Linked DNA regions of Macaca mulatta. The protein of the gene in region 1 purifies or fractionates together with the protein of each later gene. This does not show direct contact. Links are inferred from orthologs where the notes say so. Each region holds a gene or a part of one and is shown in the gene's direction. Other genes may lie near its edges.

Region 1 (4,121 bases):
CACTTACCTTCTCAGGTGTCCACAGCTCCCTCTGTAAGGAAAAGTCACAACTGGGACACAAGCCAAGAGCCTCCAGAGCCCCACACCAGGGTAGGGTCAGCTCATGGGAGGCAGACATTGGCTCCCAGCAGATTGGTGCCCCGCACCCTCTCCCACCCCTGGAGTGAACCCTCGAACACTCCTCTTATGCCCACCTTGCGCTGTATGACGTAGCCCTCAAACCACTCGGCCTGATTGGAAACCCAGAACATAGCCACAGGGAAAGTGAGGTAGAGTATCATCTGGAATGGCAGAGGGTGGGTGAGGTGACCGCCCCCCTCGCCCCAAGCAATGTGCAGAGGCTGCTCAGAGCCTGGGGGACCCATCCTACTGCAGAGTCCAGAAGCGCCTCGTTAGGGCCGACCCAAGAACCCCAGAACTCCCACCAAGGGTACAGAAACCTCGCATCCTAAAACCTAACTTCTATAATCCAGGAGGCTTCATTCCTGAAAGTCCCCCCTGAGCTGGAGTCTTCCTCTCAAAGACAGACAGACATACAGAGGCCCGAGCTACAATCAAAAGCATCTCCTCGAGACCTCATTACTCATCCCCACTTAAGATCCCGGGAGCACCCCCAAACCCAGGAGGCGTCACTCTTCAACTTCACTTCTCGAAGTCTGGGAGTCTCCCTATCATAGACACCCACCCACCACAAGCCCGAGAGCTCCCCCAGGATCTTAAGTCTTCCTTCTTTAGAGCCCCCTTCTCAGCCAACCCCTCTCTGAGGTCTTTCCTCGGACCAGCCCTCTCACAGCCCCCAAACCCAGAAGCCCAAATCTGAGAACCCCCCCACCCCACAACCCAGCGTCCCCTCTCCTGGATTTCCAACCAGAAAGGTCCCTCTCAAATCTTAAGAGCTTTCTCCTTGGAGCACCCTCTTTCTTTTAAGACCCCCATTTCCAGCCTCATCTTCAGATCCAGGAAGATCCCCTGCTCAGCCTCCCAATCCACTCCTGTGTCCACTGACCCGAAATATCTCCAGCTTCACCCCCATCTCGTTTCTCCCGGTCAACAAAGCAACTTCCGCCCAAAGCCGACCCTCCAGCAAGACAGAAGCTCATTGGTGTTTTGCACGCTCCATTGCTGAAGCTGATTGGCCAATGTGTATCCTGATGACGTATATTCGGGCGTCTCTATGTTGCTTCCGGTCGCTGGCGTCTTCGAAACGAAGTCAATAACGTGAGCCTGTCCGTCAAAAAGGATTTAACCAATAGAAAACGGGCCTGGCCCGGAGGGGCGGGCCGTCAGTGGTAGATGTCATAAGCGCGCGACTCTCGCCTGTACCTGGGCATCCAGGAAAATGGTGGTGATGGCGCGACTCTCGCGGCCCGAGCGGCCGGACCTTGTCTTCGTGAGTCCACAGAGGAGCCAGGGGTGGCCTGCATTGGGGCATTGGGACCTGGACGCCGCAGGGGATCGGGGCCGGGTCGCCAAGGGGATTTAGGCCAAAATTGCCAGGCCAAGGATTGGGGACCCTAACGGGCCAGAGACCGGATTGTGATGTCCACACCTAACTGGCCAGGAGTAAAAAATACGGTGTTGTGTCTTAGGGTATGAGTAGAAAACTACTGTCGAAGGAAAGCGTCTAGCCTCCCGAGCCAGGGGCGGAAATGGGGGCTTGCAGGGAATGGGAGAGGAAGGAGACCGCATAATTGAACGTTGAGAAGTGAAGACCGGTGTCTGAAGTAAAGGCGTGATTACGAGGCCAGGGCTCCGGTTTCTGGAATGAAGGCTTGGTTTTCTAGATAGCGGTCTCTAGGTCTGGACTGCGGCATGACAGTTTCTGGGGGTGGTGGCCAGGCTAGAAGAACCCTGGTGTTGTGGAGCTTGTCAGGCAATGGCCAATGAAATGCTTATTGTCTGGAGTAGAGGCGTGACATCTTCACCAGATTCTTGGTGTGCAGAGTTAAAGGCTTGGCTTCTGGTGTATAACTGCTCTTATGAGATAAAGTCCTAGCTTTTAACTTCTGGGGCAGAGTTGAGCTAGATGCTGGCTAGTGGGATCCTGGGGGTGGGGCCAGTGGCTTGAAATCTGGACCTGAGAGCCCTGGTGGCTGGGGTGAAGATCTGGTCGTCTGGGCCTGGAGTGGAGATGGGTCAGTTGGTGACAGTGGGAGTCTGAGGGGCCAAAGGCCTGGTGTCTGGGAAGAGGCATGTTTTGAAGAAGTGGGGTCTGGTGTCCAGGACAGAGGCCTGGCATCTGGGCCAGGGCCTTGGTAGCTAAGGAGTCTGACCATTTGGGGCAGAAAGCGAGTGGTGATGTGGACTCATGCCTGGCCCAGAGCCCTAATAACTGAGAAGTCTGATGATTTGGGTTCAATTTTGGGTAGTTGAATTCTGAGGGGTAAAGGTCTGGGCCAGTGTCTTGGTGTCTGGGCATCTGGTTTGGTGCCTGGTTTGGTGCCTGGGCATCTGGTGACCTGACTTCCTTGGTGGGTGGTGGGATCTGGGTAAAAGTCCAGAGTTTGGACCTGAGCCCCAGTAGTGGGGTGGTGCCGCACGCAGGCTCTGAGGGTAGACCTCTCTTCTCCCCATTCCCTGGCCCTGGCAGGAGGAAGAGGACCTCCCCTATGAGGAGGAAATCATGCGGAACCAGTTCTCTGTCAAATGCTGGCTTCGCTACATCGAGTTCAAACAGGGTGCCCCGAAGCCCAGGCTCAATCAGCTATATGAGCGGGCACTCAAGCTGCTACCTTGCAGGTGGGAATGGCTCCAGCTGCCCTGCCCACCAGCCCCTGCCCCCCCGGTCCAGTTATAACAAAACTGCCAAGTAGGTCCCAGGTGATTGCTTTGTGTCCCATCACTGACCTGTACATCCCTTGATGGGTCAGCACACCTCCTCTGATGTCCCAGTCTGTCCCTGTCATTGCTGAGACATGTCACCCCTCCCACACCCACATTTGCCAACAGGGGCAGGGCAGATGGTTCTGGGGGGGGGTCCATAAAGCTGACCGATCAGCATCTGTCCCCTCCTGTTCCCCAGCTACAAACTCTGGTACCGATACCTGAAGGCACGTCGGGCACAGGTGAAGCATCGCTGTGTGACCGACCCCGCCTACGAAGATGTCAACAACTGCCATGAGAGGGCCTTTGTGTTCATGCACAAGGTCTGGGGCTAGGCGAGGGGATAAATCGGGAGGGGGCGCTCAGTCCATGGTGGTGGGTGGGGCAGGGACAGGGGCTGGGCTCAGCATGTTAGGGATGGGGGCCTGGATTCCTGTTGCTTCTGTGCATGGGAAGTTGGGCTGGACTCAGTCCTGGAGCTGGGGGTTTCTGGGTCCTGCTGCATTTATGTGGAGGCCCCAGGTGTGACTCAGCCACAGGACATCAAGTGTCTGTGGGTAGGCCATGGAGTCCGTGGCTTAGCCCCAGCTGCCTCTCCCCACACCCCCAGATGCCCCGTCTGTGGCTAGATTACTGCCAGTTCCTCATGGACCAGGGGCGCGTCACACACACCCGCCGCACCTTCGACCGTGCCCTCCGGGCACTGCCCATCACGCAGCACTCTCGAATTTGGCCCCTGTATCTGCGCTTCCTGCGCTCACACCCACTGCCCGAGACAGCTGTGCGAGGCTATCGGCGCTTCCTCAAGGTGAGCCCAGCAGGTACGCTGGTTCCCCAGGTTAGTTTCCAGAAACTGCCTCACTGTGACACTAGCTCCGTATAGGATGTCACCCAGCAGACTGGATGTGGGAAGAGGCACCAGGAGATGCATATGTCTTGTCCGTGATTCATGTCTTTATTTTCCAAATAGTTTGCTCACGCCAGTTTCACATTAGGCATAGAGATGGGTGCTGAGGACAGTGTGGCTAAGACACTCCCTACCTGCATGGAGCTTTTAGTCTAACTAGGAAGACGGATGTATGTGAGCTGATGGCATGAACTAGAGTAAAACCACAGCCATGATGAGGGCCAGGAATAGGAGGTGGGGAGAAGCAGGCAGGGTGGAGAGTGGAAGCATCAGCTGGGCGGGAGTGGGGCATGGTTTGCTCAAACTTACAGTATCTGTTCTGTGACATTTGGATTCTAAGCTGGACCAGTCAGGACTGAGGCTGGACCCATGGGGCCCAGGCTGGACACTA
Region 2 (4,224 bases), on another chromosome or scaffold:
TGTTGGGCACAGGATCCGGCTCATAGCAAATGACCAATACATCCTAGCTATCATTATTCTACATTAATAACAACCATGACACACAACTACGATGTGTGCGGGGGAGGGGGAAGACTGGAGAGAGCAACCCTTCCTATCACTCCCTCATTTCACAGGTGAGGAAACTGAAAGCCAGGCAAGGTTCCCAGCCAGCTCCGGGCTTTCCGGAGTTGAGGAGGGGAGGAAGGGGGTGGGGATCTCAGGAGAGGGAGAGAAAGCCGGCAGGAGTCGAGGTAGGCCTCTGGGGAGCGAGCTGCATAGCTTGCAGGGGCGCACCTGTGAGAGTGAGGGGTGAAGCCTAAAGCAGCAGCCCTGAGTGATGGCTCATGCGTGTAACCCCAGCACTTTGGGAGGCCAGGTGGGAGGATTGCTTGACTCCATGAGTTTGAGACCAGCCTGGGCAACATAGGGAGACGTCCTCCCACGTCCCTACAAAAAAAATTTTAAAACTGGCCGGGCGCGGTGGCTCACGCCTGTAACCCTAACACTTTGGGAAGCCGAGGCGGGAGGATCATTTGAGGTCAGGAGTTCGAGACCAGCCTGGCCAACGTGGTGAAACCCCGTCTCTACAAAACACACACACACACACACACACACACACACACACACGGCCGGATGTGGTGGGCGCCTGTAGTCCCAGCCACTCGGGAGGCTGAGGCAGGACAATTGCTTGAACTCAGCGATTGAACTCGGGAGGCGGAGGTTTCAGTGAGCCAAGATCGCGCCACTGCACTCCAGCCTGGGTGACAGAACAAGACCTTGTCTCAGAAAAAAACAAAAAAGAAAGAAAAAGCAGCAGCCTTGATTTGAGAGGGAGGCCCCAGTGGGGCTTGAGATCAGGACTACGGAAGGCAGGGGGTGGAAGCAAGAAAAGGCAGGCCTATGGGAAAAGGGAATTAAGGGCGTAGGATTTGGAAGAGCGGCTTGGAGGATGTGGGCCTGAAATGAAAGGGGGGACTAAGGGAATAGGGAAGCGGGGCTCTGAGGCGGCGAGCCTTAGGGCACAGGGGCTCTCCGAAATGAGAGGCCAATGGGAGGGAGCTGGGCTCTTGGAAGGCGGTGTCGAAGGGAGCGAGGCACTGGCACTGAGCGAGGCACTGTAGAGTAAAGGAGGCGCGAGCTGAGTGCGGCGGAGGTCCGGCGGGTGACGTAGAACATCTCACCTGTCTTCGGCGTCGCGGTTTCAGCCTCTGTATCCGGTCAGCCCCGGGAACTGCCCCCGGCGCGCCTGCGGCTCCCGGGAACCCCGGAAACCCCTAGCCCGGAGCTCCAGCCGCTGCCTTGACAACGGCGTCGGACGCCGCGGTGCCCGCGGGGAGGAGCAGGAAGCGCGCCACGGCGAGGGGGCGGTCCCGGAAGTGCGTCAGTCTTACCTTCGCGGCCACAACTCGCTCGGCTGCCGCCATTTTGCGAGCTCGTCGTACTGTTCGAGCGGGGAGGCTGTCTTGAGGCGGCACTCCTCACCGACACCGAGGCGGACTGGCAGCCCTCAGCGTCGCAGTCATGCCGGCCGGACCCGTGCAGGCGGTGCCCCCGCCGCCGCCCGTGGCCACCGAGCCCAAACAGGTACCTCTCCCCCGCCCCTCAACCTGCAGCCGGAGCGTGGGCCTGGGCGCTACTTACTTGAGCGGGAATAAGCGGCCGCTATGAAGGGCTTGGAGGGACTGCAAATCCCAGGAGGCTGCGCGCTTCCCGCGCTATGGTGGTGGTTCTGGTAACGAAACCAGCTGCTCTGAACGGGGTTCTCAAAGTGGTCCGCGGAGCAGCCGCGTCGGCACGAGCCGAGAGCTTAGAAATGTGGAGTCTCCGCCCTAGACCTTTTAAATAGGGATCTTACATTTGAACAAAATCCTAAGGTGATTGATTTGTAAGTGTGAGAGGCGCTGATCCAGCCCATCCTGTGATCTTCTGTGGCAGTTGGGGCCACCGGCCCCAGCCTTTCCCCAGTAATGCCCACTTTCCCAGCCTGGGCGGTACATCTTTGGATGTTAATTCTCAGCATCTATTTCGGTGTCTGCCCCAAGCCAGACACCGTGCCACGCTCCCACGTTACCGGAATGAATGGGGCACGGGGAGCTCACAGGCTAACGAGAAGACAGATACACGAGAATGCTCACCAAATGTTTATTGTTCCGATGGCCGTCAATGATACAGTGTCAGCCCGCCCTTAATAAACCTCTCGAATCTCAAATGTGTATAAACCATTGTAGTACGGTGTGATATGCCCTGTGATAGAAGTTTCAGGTACAAATCTAGTCAACATTGCTTGCTGGAGTAGAAGGGATATTAAGGTAGGGAAGCCCACGGGAGTGAGAGGTAAATTTCTTTTAGAAGAAGGAATGGGAGTTTGCCAGGCAGGTGACTAGGGAAGGGAAATAACATCCTTTATTCATCCAGCAAATATTTATTGAGCATATATGCTGATCATTGCTTTGGGTTTGGAATGAGGGGGACATGACTGAAGAAGCCATGCCTTTTCCACAGATATTTAAGTACCTGTGTGTCCCTGGCATTTTCCCAGGCGTTGGGAGAAAATAAGGTAATGGCCAGATAATATGCACAAAGACACTGAGTTAAGAATCAAACGGTGTCTCTGATCAAGAGTAAATGAACAAGTGTTGAAGCATAGAGCGTGGTGACAGGAGATGCAATTCTTTCTTAGGATTTGAACTTTTCCTTGTAGACAATGGGAAGAAAAGGGAGAGTTTTAAGCCAAATAGTGACATTTGTGTTTCAGAAATTCAGGTAGGCAGGCATGTGGAGAGTCACTACGAGGAGGGGAGGCCAGTCACGCTATTCCAAGGGGCTGAAGGCCTGGCCTAGATTAGGGCAGAGGGGTGGGCAGGCTTTCCAGCCAGAGTGGTGTGTTAGAATTCTGGTTCTGCCAGTTGGACATTAAGCTCTCCATCTCTCAGTTTTGTCATCTGTAATGTGGAGATATTAAGAGTACTTGGCCGGCCCAGTGGCTCACGCGTGTAATTCCAGCACTTTAGGAGGCCGAGGCAGACAGATCACTTGAGGTCAGGAGTTTGAGACCAGCCTGGCCAACATGGCAAAACCCTGTCTCTACTAAAAGTAAAAAAAATTAGCCAGGTGTGGTGCATGTTTGTAATCCCCACTATTCGGGAGAGAATTACTTGAACCTGGGAAGCGGAGGTTGCAGTGAGCCAAGATCATGCCACTGCACTCCAGCCTGGGCGACAGCAAGAGAGAGTCTCAAAAAAAAAGAGTACTTAATCTTATAGGCTTCTTATAAGAGTTATAAGAATTAGTATATTTAAAGTGCTTGGGAAAAATACCTGGAATCTACTCAGTGCTTGATAAAAGTTTTTTTTAAGAGACCGGGTGTCGTTCTGTCACCCAGGCTGGAATGCAGTGGTGCAGTCGTAGCTTACTGAAGCCTTGAATTCCTGGGCTCAAGCAATCCTCCTACCTCAGCCTCCTGACTCACCGGGATTATAGGTGCAAGCCATTGTGCCCAACTTGATCAATGTTATTATTATTGAGTGTGGAAGCTGAGGAAGAGAGAGGAGCCCCAACTTTGTGGCATGGACGACTGAGTAGCTATTCCTGAGGAAAGAGGTTAGAGATGAAAGTGCCCAGTAGTTAGCTGGACCCGAAGCTGTTCAGTACGCAAGAGTGTTCTGGGACATCAGTTTGGGCCAGATTGTATAGAGGCAGGAGGGGAAGTGGAGGACACTGTCAAAACTGAGAAGAGAACCAAGAACAGAATTGGGCGGTGGGAGCGGGGATCTCCAACTTCACAGAGCAGGAGGTGAAACAGGCCAGGAAGGAAACTTGGATGGAATGGTGAGCAAGATGGGAAGACAGGTAAGAATGGGGTCTAGGAGTTGAGAGTTTTCATGAAGGAGTGGTTACCATTCACACCCAGATAATGGCTGTGGGCAGTCGTTTTTGACTTTGTCAAGAGCACTTAAAATGAATGGGGACCAAATGGGAGGCAGGGAAGTGGGATCAGCAAACTGAAGAGAACTCAGGATGTTAAGCTGCCAGAGGATGGGGCGGGAGAAGGCAGCGGCAGAAAGGAACATGGAGGCAGAGGAGAAACTTCATTTTTCTAAGATAAGAGATTTGACCCTTTGTTTACTAAGGGGAAGAAGCTGCTGGAGAAAAAATATTGGTACTTATGGCATAGTTAATGCTGAACATTCCAGTGGAATTTCA
Region 3 (4,068 bases), on another chromosome or scaffold:
GGCCGAGAGGGGCAGATCACCTGAGGTCAGGAGTTTAAGACCAGCCTGGCCAACATGGTGAAACCCCGCCTCTACTAAAAATACAAAAATTAGCCGGGCGTGGTGGCGGGCGCCTGTAATCCCAGCTACTCCGGAGGCTGAGGCAGGAGACTCGCTTGAACCCGGGAGGAGGAGGTTGCAGTGAGCCAAGATTGCGCCATGGCCCTCCAGCCTGGGCGACAAGAACAAAACTCCCTCTCAAACAAACAAAAAACCATGACCTTAATGTTTTTAATGAATTTCCAAGTGACGTTGATTTACACTGCTATTCTTTTGCTAGATTGTTTCCCCCTCTCAAAGTGTATGCAGTACGCTGTCAGGACAGATCAGTGAAACTGAAACAGGGCCAGTAAAATGTTTTGTCTATTTAAGTTTGCAAATGCCCAAGTCCATCCATTTTTCTTTTTACATAGAAAAATAATTAGGTAGGGTTGATCAAAACCGGAGATTTTACCAGGGTAGGAAGCAAAAATACCAATACTTGGCACAAGGATATGTATAAATAAAAATGGCTAAAGTCTCCAATTGTGTCTTTCTTCTACCAGCTTTGAAAAGCTGTACCCTGGCATTGTTGAAGCCACAATAATCAGCAGACAACTAGGAAATGGCCAAGAGCTATGTAGCGTTGAGAAGTTAAAAAAAAAAAAAAAATCTATTAGCAGAAAATGAATATGGGTTTTTCTTATATCTACATGTCAAAATTTTCCAAATTAAAACAGCCATTCCTCAACATTCACTCAGCAAGTGTTTACTGAACTGTTTAAGAGAAATTGTTTTCAGGTGTTAAGCCTACAAGTGTCCAAGTGCTTCTCGCCAGGATTGGAACCAGGAGACAGAAAGCAAGCAGGCGACCTCCAAAGAGATCAAGGCAGCGGAAGCGCCTTAGATAGAGCCCACGGGAGTTTGCTCTCCAGACGCTTAGGCTCTCTGAATAAAAAGCATTAAACTCCGGGGAATACAGCATGAACAACCAGGGCCCCAGCCAAGACATTGAAGGCTGAAGGTAAGGCAGAAAACATAATTCGAAGACTTCTTCAGAGGAGCGAGTGAAATCCTCCAGTCAGGCGCTTCCAGGTGTCTCCCCTCTACAGCCTCGAGCCTCCGCCCTAGGGGCGGTCCTGAGGAGGGAGACCCGCCTCTTGATCCCAGAGGGCCGGGGGAGACTAGCGCGCGTGCGCAGAGCTTGCATCACATCCGCCGCCTGGCCTCCCAATTCCGGAAGGTGCAGCACAGTTGTGGCGGCGGGTACTGCGTTAGTGATTAGGGTTTCTTCCCTGCCGGAGGTGGGATACGCGGTAGCATCATGGTCGAGGTAAAGTGACACTGGGACTCTCAAGAGTCGTTTGTCTCTGGACTGTTTTTCTTTGGCAGTGGGCGTGGGGGATTGAGAGTGCTTGGAGTCCGGAGAGAAAAGAGGCTACGAGGGAAGCTGTTTGGCCAAGGCCGGGTGGTCTCTTCATCGGGTTTTCGGGGAAGGGGTAGAAGCCGGATGAGAACCCGAGTCGGAGGTTCAGTCCGGGCGCTAAGCCTGAGATAATTCGTCCAGTCCTCGTTTGACTCTTGGGAGCTGGAAACTGTCCTTGGAGGCGGGGCCTCTGTTGGTGTTCGACCACTGGTACTCGCCGCCCTCGGGGCAGTGTCAGTGATTCTGTGCCCGAAAAGATTGGCGGTCTTCTCTATCTTGCGTTCAAGTCGTCTCTTATTTCAACTCTACTCCCAGAAAAACTTGCCATTCTTTACATCTTTCCCTGGCATGAACAGCCAGCCATTCTGTTAGCTGGTCTTATCCATGTTACCCCCCATGTTTATTGATTCCGTTCACTTTTCTCCGTATCCACTGCAGTCCACCTTAATTGAGACCAACATCATCTTTCACCGGGCCTGGTGCATTAGCTCCCCGTTGATTTCCTTGCTTCCATTTTGTTCCATAAGTTGTTCTGTTTAAAATGTAAGTTGTTCATACCTTTCTTGTTTAAAACCCTTTACTGACTGTGTTGCTAGAAGAAAACATAGGCTGTTGTAATAGTCTAAAATACCTTACCTAATCTGGACCTTGTCTACCCTTGCAACCACAAAGCACCATCTCATCCACCATATACAGCTGTGCCGCCCTTCTTGTATTATTTCAGTTAATAATTTTTTTACATGACATTTTTTTACATGACATTTCCATCAGCCTGGTTCGTTTTTATCTCTGTTTTGTGCAAGGCTAACTCCCTTTCTGCTTAAATATCACTTTAGTGAAGTCTTTCACAATTATACTTAGTCCTTCGTTTCCTGACCCAGTGCCTTGCTTGTTGCCCTCATAGCACTTATCAAAATGTGGAATTATTTTACTTTTTATTTGTCTGTTTCCTCTTGAGCACAGGGACCATGACTACCTTTTATCATTCTATTGTGAGAGTCTAGCACGATACCTGCCAGACACACAGTAGGAGCTCAGTAAATATTTATTGAGTAAATGACTAAACTATGGCATCACTCAGTTGCTATACCTGAGGTTCTAGCCAAAGAGGAGCTTCCTCCTCTTCTCTGAACTTGACTCCTGTAGCTCGCAACAAGTAGCTATGGTGAGTGGTATAAAGCTTTTTACATATTTAAACATGTGAAGTGTATAATCAATCTGACGTTAGGTTATGATTTGTGTAATTTGTAGATAGGTGTGTAATTACTTTTTTTTTTTTTTTTTAGGAGGTACAGAAACATTCTGTACACACACTTGTGTTCAGGTCATTGAAGAGGACCCATGACATGTTTGTAGCTGATAATGGAAAACCTGTGCCTTTAGATGAAGAGAGGTTGGTATAGTTTTTTTTTCAATTGCTGAAATATTTAACATTCTAATACTGGGGGAAGAGAGCAGGAAGAGGGAGACCTTTAAAGATAAACTGGCAATACTCATGGGCTAATTCAATAATGAGTGGTGTTTTGGCATAATTTAAGCTGATTTAACTTTTTTTTTTTTGGCCTTTTACAGTAAAAGTTCCATTAATTAATTGCATTTTACAAATACCCAGTAAATAAGAGAGTCCCTTTTAGGTATTTTATTTTATAATCAATCACTTTGTATGTGCTTTCAGCTTCCCGCTGCTCTCAGAGCCTTGCTGAGCTGAAATTGTACCTGGCCGGTACCTCTACTCCCATCTTTTCTCGTTAGTATGATGAAGATTTTTGAGTGGTGGCATATTTTTGGTTCTACATATCCAGCTCCAGTCTGGGATTGCATTATGTGCAGTGTTCCTTCTTTGTCCTTTACCCTTTTAAAATCGACTTAACTCCTCAAACAAGCATTTATATTTAATTTGTAAAGTAGACTATTTTTAAAAGTAATATAAGTGCATTTCTTTTTAAAATATTGAACCAATTAAGTACTTTTCTTAGTTCTAACTAACCTGTTTGGATACATCTAGTAAAGGTTGCTATAGAGTTTTTACTATATTTATATTTTGAAGGAAAGCGTATTGACTTTGAGGTTTCTTAAAGGGTATGTTAGTTTCTATATATCTTTCAAGCAGACCCTTGATAATTTATCATAAAATATTTTCTATTAGGTAACAAACTAAAATATTACTTAGGTTTAATGAATGCTGTGTGGTGGAATGTGAGCAAAAGAACAGATATGGTGGGGAAATGCACTTGGAAATTTTTGATTCTTTTAAATACTACTTAAAATCTTACTAGAAACTTTTCCTACATGATTGGGCAAACTTAAGCTGTCTAAGTGTTTGTTTTAAAGTATTTATGGATACGTTCTTATGTTTATAATTTCTAAATAGTCACAAACGGAAGATGGCAATCAAGCTTCGTAATGAGTATGGTCCTGTGTTGCATATGCCTACTTTGAAAGAAAATCTTAAAGAGAAGGGTCCTCAGAATGCAACGGATTCATATGTTCATAAACAGTACCCTGCCAATCAAGGTGAGTATGGTATTATCAGAAATGTCAGACGTATGTGTGAATTTTAAAAATAGAAAAATAAAATGTGTTATTTTTGCCCCTGCTGGCAGGACTTAGGTGTGGTCATACAG
Region 4 (4,219 bases), on another chromosome or scaffold:
AGTAACTAAGAACTTGGAACAACTCAGATGTCTATCAGCAGATGAATAGTTTATCAAACTGTGGTATGCCAGTAAAATGGAATGAATGTTAAGCAATAAAAAAGGAATGAACTACTGATACATGCAACAACATGAATCCATCTCAAAATCATTTCGTTGAGTGAAAGAAGGCATGCACTGTATTATTTCATTTATATAAAATTTCACGAAAAGCAAACTTTGGTGACAGAAAGCAGATCAGTGGTTGCCTGGAAAGTGGGTGGGAATAGTGAAAGGTACAGATTGCAAAAGTGCAGGAGGAAATTTTTAGGGGCTCATTATCATGATTTTGGCAACAGTTTCACAAATGTATGTTCATGTCAAAACGCATCAAATTTTACAACCTAAATATGTGTGGGTTATTGTATGTCAATTATTTTTATTATTATTTTATTTTTGTTTTTTGAGACGAGTCTCGCTCTGTCACCAGGCTGGAGTGCAATGGCACAATCTTGGCTCACTGCAACCTCTGCCTCCCTGCTTCAAGAGATTCTCCTGAATCCGAGTAGCTGGGACTACAGGCGAGCGCCACCATGCCCGGCTAATTTTTTTGTATTTTTTAGTAGAGACGGGGTTTCACCATGTTAGCGAGGTTGGTCTCGAATTCCTGACCTCAGGCAATCGGCCAGCTTCAGCCTCCCAAAATGCTGGGATTACAGGCATGAGCCACCGCGCCCGGCTGGGTTATGGTATGTCAGTTTTTACCGCCATAAAACTGTTAAGGCCTGTAATCCCAGCCCTTTGGGAGGCCGAGGCAGGTGGATCACCTGAGGTCGGGGAGTTCGAGACCAGCCTGACCAACATAGAGAAACCCCATCTCACTAAAAATACAAAAATTAGCCGGGTGTGGTGGCGCATGCCTGTAATCCCTGTAATCCCAGCAACTCGGGAGGCTGAGGCAGGAGAATCGCTTGAACCCGGGAGGCGGAGGTTGCAGTGAGCCGAGATTGCGCCACTGCACTCCAGCCCGGGCAACAAGAGCGAAACGCCGTCTCAAGAAAAACAAAACTAAACTACAACACTGTTAAGGGCAGTTAAAAACCAGCCCATATTCCCAGGCTGTTTTTTTGTTTGTTTGTTTGTTTTGTTTTGTTTTTTCTTCGGGGTTGAAAAAAACCTAAATTCTCATTCACCGCACACGCTGCTCCTCACTAACCACGAGAAACCCCATCCAACACCATCCACCGGGTCCCTGCCTTGCCCTCCTAATCCCGCCAGCGGGGTGTCTTCTCTCTGCCGCCCGCTAGAGGGCGCGTACAGAGGAGGTCAAAGCTTTTGGCTCGCTAGCTCAGCCCCAACGCCTGCATGAACTTCCGGCTACACGCCATTCCGCTTCCCGGGGAACGCTTGGGCTGTAGTACGGGTTCCCTATGGGACTCTGAAGCCTGAGGATATCCGGCGCGCAACGTTTGTTCAGCGCGGAGTTAAGCGCCTCGGCCGTAACTTAGGGGAAGTGGACCAGGCTTGCCGCTGCCCAGGGCGGTCCTTTCGTTTCCACCGGAGTGGAGGGGAGCGTGCTACCATGGCAGCCCCTGCACAGCCCAAGAAGATCGTGGCTCCTACGGTGTCCCAGATTAACGCGGAGTTCGTGACCCAGGTGAGCTCGGGCGAGTCTGGTGTATGTGTGAGGGGGTAAGGACGTCGTGGCCCCGAGGCCTGGTGGTGGGGTTTTTTCTTTTTTTTTCCAGGACTAGGAGCACGGAGGAGGCATTCGTTTGTTAATTCATTCACACAAGTCTTTTTTGCTGAGTATGAGCTCCGTGCCGGCAGCTACGCTAGGTGCTGGGCATACCGTGGTGGATGGGTTGCCCTGGCCTGAGGGGTTCATGGCCTAAGAAAGACACATAGGCCGGGTGCGGTGGCTCAAGCCTGTAATCCCAGCACTTTGGGAGGCCGAAACGGGCGGATCACGAGGTCAGGAGATGGAGACCATCCTGGCTAACACGGTGAAACCCCGTCTCTACTAAAAAATACAAAAAACCTAGCCGGGCGAGGTGGCGGCGCCTGTAGTCCCGGCTACTCGGGAGGCTGAGGCAGGAGAATGGCGTAAACCCGGGACACGGAGCTTGCAGTGAGCTGAGATCCGGCCACTGCACTCCAGCCTGGGCGACAGAGCGAGACTCCGTCTCAAAAAAAAAAAAAAAAAAAAAAAAAAAAGACACATAAAAAGAAAACTACTCTATGAGTTTTGCTGTATTGGAGTTTGCCTCAGGAGCAATTGATTCAGAGAGGAGGGAACACCCCAATCTATCTGAGACTGTCAAGCAGCCTTCGCAGCAGAGTGATGCTGGACTGCCTCTTCAAGTAGGAGTAGGCTTTTTCCTGGTCCGTAGAGTGTCCTGAGTTTTTGAGCAGCTATGAGAAACTGACAAGACACCTCCAAATAGACCCATTTAAGAAGAGAGTGATTCTGTAGTTGGAGAGCGTTCATTTAGAATCTGTTTACTATCTTGCATTGTGAGCCACAGTTGGCTTTGGATAGGGAAACACAGTCCTGTGGTTGTCAGCATCATTCCTCATTCTTACTCTTTATTTGCGAATTGGGTAAGAGTGTAAGTAGTTCAGTGTAGAAGTTATCATGCCCACCTGCTTCTTTATTCTTTATTCCTTGTCTCAACAGATTTGTCAGGGCAGAAGCCCAGGGAGAAATTTTGAATCCTCCCTTAATCCCTACATTTCTACATTCTGAGTATCTTTGGAATCTATCTGGTGTTCTACATCTCTGTCACCCTAAGCCTGGTTGCCATTGTTTTCTGCCTGGACGAAGGTATCCTAATCTGTTATATTGTTCTTCTTCTTGCTGTCCTCTAGCCCATTCTTCATGTTGCTTTCCGAGTGATTTTATACAAGTGCAAATCTCATCATATCACTTGCCTTCTTAAAATCTCTCCCTTCCTTTCCTTCCTTTTCTTCTTTCAAGATAGGGTCTCACTATGTTGCCCGGGCTCAAGTGATCCTTCCACCTCAGCCTCCCTTGTAGCGGGGACTACAGGGAACTACACTAAGGCTGACTGTCCTTAAAATCTTCAACCGGGCACGGTGGCTCATTCCTGTAATACCAGCACTTTGGGAGGCCGAGGCTGGTGGATCACCTGCGGTCAGAGTTTTAGACCAGCCTGACCAACATGGAGAAACCCCGTCTCTGCTAAAAATACAGAATTATCCAGGTGTGGTGGCGCATGCCTGTAATCCCAGCTTCTCAGGAGACTGAGGCTAGAGAATTGCTTGAACCCGGAAGGCGGAGGTTGCAATGAACCAAGATCCTCCCCAGAATAACTGGGGGTGAGGTGAAGATTTTCTATTGAGTTGGAGAGTGATTGGTAATTTGGGAAGGTGTTATTTATTTATTTATTTTTGAGATGGAGTCTTGCTCTGTTGCCCAGGCTGGAGTGCAGTGGCTTGGTGTTGGCTCACTGCAATCTCCGCCTCCCAGGTTCAAGCGGTTCTCCTGCCTCAGCCTCCCGAGTAGCTGAGATTATAGGTACACAACCACGCCCGGCTAATTTTTGTATTTTTAGTAGAGATGGGGTTTTACCATATTGGCAAGGCTGGTCTTGAACTCCTGACCTCAGGTGATCCACCCGCCTCGGCCTCCCAGAGTGCTGAGATTACAGGCGTGAGCCACCACACCTGGCCGGAAGGTGTCATTTAAGTAGGAAGTTACTGTAATATTTTTAGAGGCTATTCCTCAGGGCCAGTGTCCTAACTGCTTGGGAGGCTCTTTAAGTGTGTTGTCTGTGCAGTTTATCGCTGAGCTATGAAAGCAAAGAAAACAGGTCCCATCTCTTAAGTATTCCAATTAAGTGAGAAGGAAAGTTGGATAAGCAATCAAATATTTATAATGTAGAAAGGTAAGATTATAAAGAGTTATATACAAAATGAAGATGAAAAAGCAATTGTCGCCATCAGGTAGTGTTGAGGACAGCCTCACAGAAGTAACATTTCAGATTTTGCTTCATTTGTCCATCCATTTATCCATCAGACTTTGTGAGTGCCTCTGATATGCCAGATACTGCAGTCACCTTTTTATAAATATATTGAGTCTTTGTGCTTGCCAGTTTTCTATTTTTAAAGAGATTATAATTGGGTTTTAAAATAAAACCCTATGAGTAAGACTATGCTGTTTCTTTAAATATGTAGAGAGAGTTATATATTTGTTTAAATTTCACAGTTTACAGGT

Evidence for each region. The genes of interacting proteins can lie anywhere in the genome.
Region 2: the proteins of XAB2 (region 1) and SF3A1 fractionate together in Homo sapiens (co-fractionation; 3 studies listed by BioGRID and IntAct, with this or other methods). This does not show direct contact. The link is inferred for Macaca mulatta from reciprocal best matches to the Homo sapiens genes XAB2 and SF3A1.
Region 3: the proteins of XAB2 (region 1) and PLRG1 purify together in Homo sapiens (affinity purification with mass spectrometry; 3 studies listed by BioGRID and IntAct, counting the BioPlex papers as one, with this or other methods). This does not show direct contact. The link is inferred for Macaca mulatta from reciprocal best matches to the Homo sapiens genes XAB2 and PLRG1.
Region 4: the proteins of XAB2 (region 1) and AQR fractionate together in Homo sapiens (co-fractionation; 3 studies listed by BioGRID and IntAct, with this or other methods). This does not show direct contact. The link is inferred for Macaca mulatta from reciprocal best matches to the Homo sapiens genes XAB2 and AQR.

The regions. Positions count from the first base shown.
Region 1 is NC_133424.1:8,521,339-8,525,459, reverse strand, and holds the start of XAB2 (pre-mRNA-splicing factor SYF1), read left to right. Parts: upstream 1-1,321; 5' UTR 1,322-1,339; coding exon 1,340-1,390; intron 1,391-2,590; coding exon 2,591-2,739; intron 2,740-3,022; coding exon 3,023-3,146; intron 3,147-3,433; coding exon 3,434-3,631; intron 3,632-4,121. Other genes in the region: protein PET100 homolog, mitochondrial, read right to left, coding at 8-31, 195-281, 1,007-1,033. UniProt on the Homo sapiens protein: Involved in pre-mRNA splicing as component of the spliceosome. Involved in transcription-coupled repair (TCR), transcription and pre-mRNA splicing.
Region 2 is NC_133415.1:21,188,072-21,192,295, forward strand, and holds the start of SF3A1 (splicing factor 3A subunit 1), read left to right. Parts: upstream 1-1,424; 5' UTR 1,425-1,542; coding exon 1,543-1,605; exon of another isoform or gene 1,606-1,704; intron 1,705-4,224. UniProt on the Homo sapiens protein: Component of the 17S U2 SnRNP complex of the spliceosome, a large ribonucleoprotein complex that removes introns from transcribed pre-mRNAs.
Region 3 is NC_133410.1:163,143,580-163,147,647, reverse strand, and holds the start of PLRG1 (pleiotropic regulator 1), read left to right. Parts: upstream 1-1,268; 5' UTR 1,269-1,342; coding exon 1,343-1,351; intron 1,352-2,730; coding exon 2,731-2,837; intron 2,838-3,815; coding exon 3,816-3,958; intron 3,959-4,068. UniProt on the Homo sapiens protein: Involved in pre-mRNA splicing as component of the spliceosome. Component of the PRP19-CDC5L complex that forms an integral part of the spliceosome and is required for activating pre-mRNA splicing.
Region 4 is NC_133412.1:12,297,815-12,302,033, reverse strand, and holds the start of AQR (RNA helicase aquarius), read left to right. Parts: upstream 1-1,419; 5' UTR 1,420-1,561; coding exon 1,562-1,636; intron 1,637-4,219.